Macaca fascicularis: one gene and its partner. The protein of the gene in region 1 interacts with the protein of each later gene in a biochemical or structural test. Links are inferred from orthologs where the notes say so. Each region holds a gene or a part of one and is shown on either strand. Other genes may lie near its edges.

Region 1 (3,649 bases):
AATGGCGTGAACCTGGGAGGCGGAAGTTGCAGTGAGCTGAGATCCGGCCACTGCACTCCAGCCTGGGCGACAGAGCAAGACTCCGCCTCAAAAAAAAAAAAAAAAAAAAAGACATGGGTTTTAGTAAGATAAAGTACAAAAAGTTTGTGTCAGTAGATCAGAATGTAACTGAGAGAAATAAACATTTGGAACTCTAGGTAAGAATTGTAGGCCGGGTGCGGTGGCTCAAGCCTGTAATCCCAGCACTTTGGGAGGCCGAGACGGGCGGATCACGAGGTCAGGAGATCGAGACCATCCTGGCTAACACGGTGAAACCCCGTCTCTACTAAAAAATACAAAAAAAAAAAAAAACTAGCCGGGCGAGGTGGCGGCGCCTGTAGTCCCAGTTACTCGGGAGGCTGAGGCAGGAGAATGGCGTGAACCCGGGAGGCGGAGCTTGCAGTGAGCTGAGATCCGGCCACTGCACTCCAGCCTGGGCGACAGAGCGAGACTCCGTCTCAAAAAAAAAAAAAGAATTGTAATTATAGCCCCACCGTATGTTTGCACACATCTTTAAACCACCTCATTTGTGTGGACATCGGGCCCATTGTGGGCAGAATCTGAGACTTTGTGAATTGGATGACTGTTCACTGTTTTGTGCTCTAACCTGGCTGCCTCTCAATAGTTACCATAAAGCAAGTATTTAGAAAATCTATGAGAGTTTTTCTAATTGAGGTATGGTTTTAGAAAACCCTTATAAACATTAAAAATCTAAAACACTGAAAACTTTTTTAAATGCTGTGTTAAATACTTCAAAATATCTGATGATATTTTTCTCTTATAGTTTAGGTGTGAATAAATTTAATCCACTATAAATTAGATTTGATAGCTTGTCCTTTTACATTGTCTGGCTGATGGACTAAATTAGAAGTATATTGGGAACATGAACCTCCCAGGTTAAATAGTTGGTGTAAACTGGATTTTCTGACTTGCTAACTTTAGTGAAATAAGAGGGCTTCAGTGACATGAAGAAGTAAATACATCTTCCAACATGCTCAGAAAAAATGAGGTTCACCTAATAGGATCCATCTCAGATATTTAACCAGATCAACCTTCTCATATACAGGCAGTGATGTGTAGAGCCGCCCAGTTTCTAAGCGGTGTATTGGCGTTCTTACCCTGCACGCTGTATTCTAGTTGAGTTATTGTTGTTAATGCTGCCCATGCTGTACTCTGCTGACGTGTACTGCACATCTCAGGGCTTGACCACTTACTGGACGAGAACAGAGTGCCGGACCTCGCGCAGATGTACCAGCTGTTCAGCCGGGTTAGGGGCGGGCAGCAGGCGCTGCTGCAGCACTGGAGCGAGTACATCAAGGTACTGGTGGGGTTTCGAGGCCGCAGGCGCGGGCGTTTCCTGCAGGGAGCAGAGCCCCTCCTGAGAACACCCAGTGCCCTGACAAAGGGAACTGGGCTGCTGGAGGGCCGGTTGGCATTTTCATCATAGATGATAGGGTGGATGGTAGTGTTCTATCTGCTTCCCCATCACCAGTGTGAATTTGCTTTTTAAGATAACACCAGCAGTGATTAGCACCATCCAGGTAGAAAGTATAACTTAAAGATCAACAGTTTTGCTCTTCTTCATCAGCGTAAATATTGGTTTAATTCTAAATCATGATTTTTCTGAAAGTAATCATTTTTGTAAATCTGCTTGTCAGACAAGATCTCCTCATGCCCTTAGCTCAGTGAGAACTATTATCTATTTGGCATATTAGGTAGCTTTATAGACTTTATTTCTTAACAGACCAAATTTAGGATTTGTTACTTAAACTTTCGCTTTCATGTTTCGAAAGCATTTCTTTGGCATCCCTGACAAGCCCAATCTAACCCGTCATAGAGTGGCTTCTTGGGCAGTACCCTGAGTTTTCACGTGTCCTGCCCAGGAGAACAGCCCCTCGGTGCTGACATAGGACCTCCCTGAAGACTAGGGGCTCTCGGCCCAGGGCACCACCCCACCAAGGGGACACTTGTTGATGTGTGGAGACGTTTGTGGCTGTCTGAACAGAGAGGGTACTGCTTGCTCTGCTGGGCAGCCCCGGGGTGCTGCTGAATGCACGAGGCAGCCCTCACCACAGAGAATCACCTGCCCAGAGTGCCAGTGTTGCCCAGCCCAAGAAACCTACTGAAGACCCTCTATAATGAGAAGCCATTCTCCAGATGCCCCTTACAGAAACAGGAGAACTGAGGTAAACATCAGGGCCCCTTCACAGATAACTCGTGTTTTCAGTATGTGCCAGTTGCATGAATTTTCCAGCTTAAATGGTGAGCGTTTAGCAGGAGTCTGTGTGTGTGCTTGCTGGTGACTATTCTTAGATCCCAGAATGAAAAGATAGATAAAATTTCCAGAGAATTACGCTGAGAGAAAAAAAAAAAAAAGCCAATCGCAGATACTTAACATGTTATTGCATAACATTCTGGAAATGGCAAAATTTGGAAATGGAGGACAGATGAAAAGTTACCGGGGTGTAGGGATGGAGCGGGGTGTGTGGTTATAAAAGGCCCCAGGAGGTAGCCTTCTGCAGGAACTGTTGGGGTTTTGGCCGAGGTCTAGATGTGCACACCCAGATGAGTTACAAGTCAACTGGGCCATCTGAAAAAGACCTGGGGGGTTATCAGTGTCAGTATCCCGGTTGAGATACTGTTCTGTAGTTTTGCAAACTTGCCATTGGAGGAAACTATGGAAAACAAAGATACTGGGATTGCTTTGCTATTTTTACTATTATGCAGCACTTTCATTATCTCATAAGATTTCCATTAAGTAAAAAAGATAAATGAAAGCATACGTGCTGCTTTATGGAATAATCAGACCTCAAGTCACGTATCAGTCCAGCTATGCAAAGCCGGCACACCTAGCAGCTCTCCCCACAAGGTCTTGTACAGCGACGTTGAATTGGAAGTTACAACTGAGTCACACTAAATTGGCCATAAAGCTACTGAAGATTTAGGTTTTTTGCCAGTGAGACAGTCTTCAGGGGATGAGAATATGTGCTAAAAAACTAGGAAAAGTTCACCTTTGCAATTTCCAGTCTGGGTAATAAAAATCAGTGAGTGACCGTCACCCCTGAGTGTCAGCAGTAAGCAGTTATGCTATAACAAAATAGTGGTTTCCATTCAACTCCACATGCCGTTATCAAAGTAAAGCTGTGCCCTTTCTGTTGGCATCTTTTTTTTTTTTTTTTTTTTTTTTTTTTTTTTTTTGAGACAGAGTCTCGCTCTGTCATCCAGGCTGGAGTGCCGTGGCATGATCTCAGCTCACTGCAACCTCCGCCTCCTGGGTTCAAGCATTACCCTGCCTCAGCCTCCTGAGTAGCTGGGATTACAGGCTCCCGCCACCACACCCAGCTAATTTTTGTATTTTTAGTAGAGACGGGGTTTCACCATATTGTCCAGGCTGATCTTGAATTCTGGACCTCGTGATCCACCCGCCTCGGCCTCCCAAAGTGCTGGGATTACAGGCATGAGCCACAGCGCCCAGCCTTCTGTTGGCATCTTTCCACCGGCCAGCTACCTCGTGTGTGTGTGTGACGTGTGAGTGCACGTGTGCATTGTATTGAGACACATTTTTTAAATCCAATAATTGTATTCAGTTCCTCTTGAGCAAATGTAGTTT
Region 2 (3,649 bases), on another chromosome or scaffold:
TCGACCTCCAGGGTTCCGTCATCCTCCCACCTCAGCCTTCTGAGGAGCTAGAACCACAGGCACCTACCACCATGCCTATATATATATGTGTGTGTGTGTGTGTGTGTGTGTGTATATATATATATATATTTTTTTTTTTTTTTTTTTTTTGTAGAGATGGGGGTTCTCCCTATATTGCTCAGGCTGGTCTTGAACTCCTGGCCTCAAGCAGTCCCCCCGCCTCAGTCTCCCAGGTGGTGGGATTACTGTGCCTGGTCTATTGGACATTCTATGAGGGCAAAACAATAGTGATGGAGAACAGATCAGCCAGGGGCTGGGGGCGAGGGGAGGGTGTGATTGCAATGGGATAGCACAATGGAGTTTTTGGGCTGTTGCAAATGTTCTGCATTTTGATTTGGGTGGTGGTTATTTAAATCTATACATATGTTAAAATTCAGAGAACTGTATACCCCAAATTTGCTATATGTTAATTAAAAAAAAGAAAGTAAAAATAAAGCCTTAAGAAGTGAAGGGAGGCCAGACTTAGTGGCTCACGCCTATAATCCCAGCACTTTGGGAGGCTGAGGCTGGCGGATCACCTGAGGTCAGGAGTTCAAGACCAGCCTGGCCAACATGGTGAAACCCTGTCTCTTCTAAAAATACAAAATTTAGCCATGCGTGGTGGTGGGCACCTGTAATCCCAGCTGCTTGGGAGGCTGAGGCAGGAGAATCGCTTGAACCTGGAAGGCAGAGGTTGCAATGAGCCGGGATCACGCCATTGCACTCCAGCCTGGGTGACAGAGTGGGACTCCATCTCAAAAAAAAAAAAAACAAAAAAAAGGAAAGGGAGGGAGGGAGGGAAGAAGAAAGAGAAAGAAAGAAAGGAAGAAAAAGAAAAGAAGGGGCCAGGCAAAGTGGCTCATGCCTATAATCTTAGCACTTTGGGAAGCCACGGTAGGAGGATCACTTGAGCTCAGGAGTTCGAGACCAGCCTGGGCACCACAATGAGACCCTGTCTCTACCAACAATTTTTTAAAAATTAGCACTTGTAATGCCAGCACTTAGGGAGGCTGAGGTGGGCAGATCGCTTGAGCTCAAGAGTTCAAGACCAGCCTGGGCAACATGACAAAACCCCATCTTTAAAAAAAAAAAAAAAAAAATACAAAAATGAACTGCGCATGGTGTGTGCACCTGTAGTCCCAGCTACTTGGGAGGCTGAGGTAGGAGGATCGCTTGAGCCTGGGAGATTGAGGCTGCAGTGAGCCGTGTTCGTGCCACTGCACTTCAGCCTAAGTGACAGAGAAAGACCCTATTTCAAGGGAAAAGAAAAAGAAGTGAAGGCTCTGTGGAGAGCGTCCTAGTGTTTAGGTGTCCGAGCTGACCTGGCCCCACGCACTGCTCGTTGGTGCTTCCGTGACAGCGCAGCACGCGTGCCCAGGCCTGGTTCCTCACTGCCAGGCCCATCATCACTCACTGGCTTTTTCCTTCCTCGTGTTAGATTGGAGCTGGAGGGAGCATCACTGGGCTGAAGTTTAACCCTCTCAATACCAACCAGTTTTACGCCTCCTCAATGGAGGGAACAACTAGGCTGCAAGACTTTAAAGGCAACATTCTACGAGTTTTTGCCAGCTCAGACACCATCAAGTGAGTAGTTTAACTAGGCGGGGAAAGGGCTTCTAAGCTTAGGTGTAGTTCCGGCAAGAGCATCCAGATCCCATTTCCTCAACCCAACCTGGCACAGGGAAGAAAGGAAAGATGTCAGCCACCTTCCGCCCTTCTTTCTCTTTCTCAAACTGTTCCTTGGCCACCCTCACTTTGGTCCAGGTGGGTTACTGCTTTGGGAAGGTGTTCTGGAGCCTCAGCTCTTCTGTAAGTCATACCTGTATTAGACTAGACCTGGACCTTCACTAGATAAGCCAGCATGGCATAGGCCCAGAAAGCCACCTAGAGAATGGAGCAGCAGCTAAGAACTTGAGACTGAATTCCCTGCACTCGCTGTGGTGTAATGACCTGAGCCGTTCCTGGGTGCAAGCTTACATGGATGGAATCTTGTCCATAAAGTGCTCTGAACTTCCCAAGAGAAAGTGGCTGGAGAAATTACAGAATGCAGCTGGGTGCGGTGGCTCATGCCTGTAATCCCAGCACTTTGGGAGGCCAAGGTGGGTGGATCACCTGAGGTCAGGAGTTCAAGACCAGCCTGGCCAACATGGTGAAACCCCATCTCTACTAACAATACAAAAAATGAGCCGGATGTGGTGGTAGGTGCCTGTAATTCCCAGCTACTTGGGAGGCTGAAACAAGAGAGTAGCTTGAACCCAGGAGGCAGAGGTTGCAGTGAGCCAAGATTGCGCCACTGCACTCCAGCCTGGGCAACAAGAGTGAAATTCCATCTCCAAAAAAAAAAAAAAAATTACAAAATGCTCGTCACTTTGATTTCCAGCTAGAGCCGGGACTCTGACTGCTCCCTGAGGAATTAAGTGAGGGTGCTGGGGTGTAACTAGCATTGGATGGGATCCTGGGCTGTCCTGCAGGGATGAGGAGTGCATGCGCAATTCAGCAGGTGATTGGATAGACGAGGCTCCAGGCTCGTTTTCCGCAAGAAATCTTCTTGCTTGAAGATATTCATAAGGGATGGCAAAAGTCAGTGTAGCATGGATTTGAGGGTTTGAGAGAAAAACTGAGCTGAGCTCCTCTGGCTGGATAGCAGGATCCCTGAAGCACCCCTAGTCAGCCTCCCAGTCCAGTGGTTTGAGGGACCAGAAGAGCTCCTGGTTGTGTGTTTTTCCCTCAGTGTTCAGAAGGGGGCAGAAGTGCCTTTCCAGCCAGCTCTGAGGAACAGAGCCAGGCAATCCCTGTTTGGCTTGTGTCTCCTTTGGCCCAAAGGGTGGAGAGTGAAAGGAGAGAGCAGTAAAGGAGGATTGCTTAGAACCCGGGGTGTGGGGGCGGGCGTGCCCTGAGGCTTGCTTTATGGTTTGAGCTTTGTCTGCTTCAGAGACTCTTAGGAGCTGGGGATCCTGGGCCCAGCAGTAACCAGACAGATTTCTGAGCCCCATTACCCCATTCCCTCTGTCTGGACGGTAGAGCAGTCTGAATGTTCCTCGCTAGGAATCCACAGCAAGACAGTTATTCATTCATTCAACAAATATTTATTGAATGCCCACTGTGGGTTAGTCACTGGAGCAGCAACAGTGAGTAAACAGGCCTATCTCTGTCCCCAAGAATCTTACAACACAGTCTTTCCCTCCAGCATCTGGTTTTGTAGCCTGGATGTGTCCGCCAGTAGCCGAATGGTGGTCACAGGAGACAACGTGGGGAACGTGATCCTGCTGAACATGGACGGCAAAGAGGTGCGTTCTCCCAGGTCCTGCCTTTCCCTCCCTCATCCCCGCCTCGGTTCTGTGTCCCCACCTGAACCGAGCTCTTCTCTGCAGCTTTGGAATCTCAGAATGCACAAAAAGAAAGTGACGCATGTGGCCCTGAACCCATGCTGTGATTGGTTCCTGGCCACAGCCTCCGTAGATCAAACAGTGAAAATCTGGGACCTGCGCCAGGTTAGAGGGAAAGCCAGCTTCCTCTACTCGCTGCCGCACAGGCATCCTGTCAACGCAGGTGTGATATCCCAGACCTCATCTCTCCTGCAGACCCTGCCTATCTGACTGCTGCTGGGGTG

The links. The genes of interacting proteins can lie anywhere in the genome.
Region 2: the proteins of CUL4A (region 1) and DDB2 form a complex in vitro, tested with the Homo sapiens proteins (2 studies listed by BioGRID, with this or other methods). The link is inferred for Macaca fascicularis from reciprocal best matches to the Homo sapiens genes CUL4A and DDB2.

Annotation. Positions count from the first base shown.
Region 1 is NC_088391.1:103,655,742-103,659,390, forward strand, and holds part of CUL4A (cullin-4A), read left to right. Parts: intron 1-1,238; coding exon 1,239-1,357; intron 1,358-3,649. UniProt on the Homo sapiens protein: Core component of multiple cullin-RING-based E3 ubiquitin-protein ligase complexes which mediate the ubiquitination of target proteins. As a scaffold protein may contribute to catalysis through positioning of the substrate and the ubiquitin-conjugating enzyme.
Region 2 is NC_088388.1:18,611,579-18,615,227, reverse strand, and holds part of DDB2 (DNA damage-binding protein 2), read left to right. Parts: intron 1-1,477; coding exon 1,478-1,623; intron 1,624-3,226; coding exon 3,227-3,326; intron 3,327-3,410; coding exon 3,411-3,588; intron 3,589-3,649.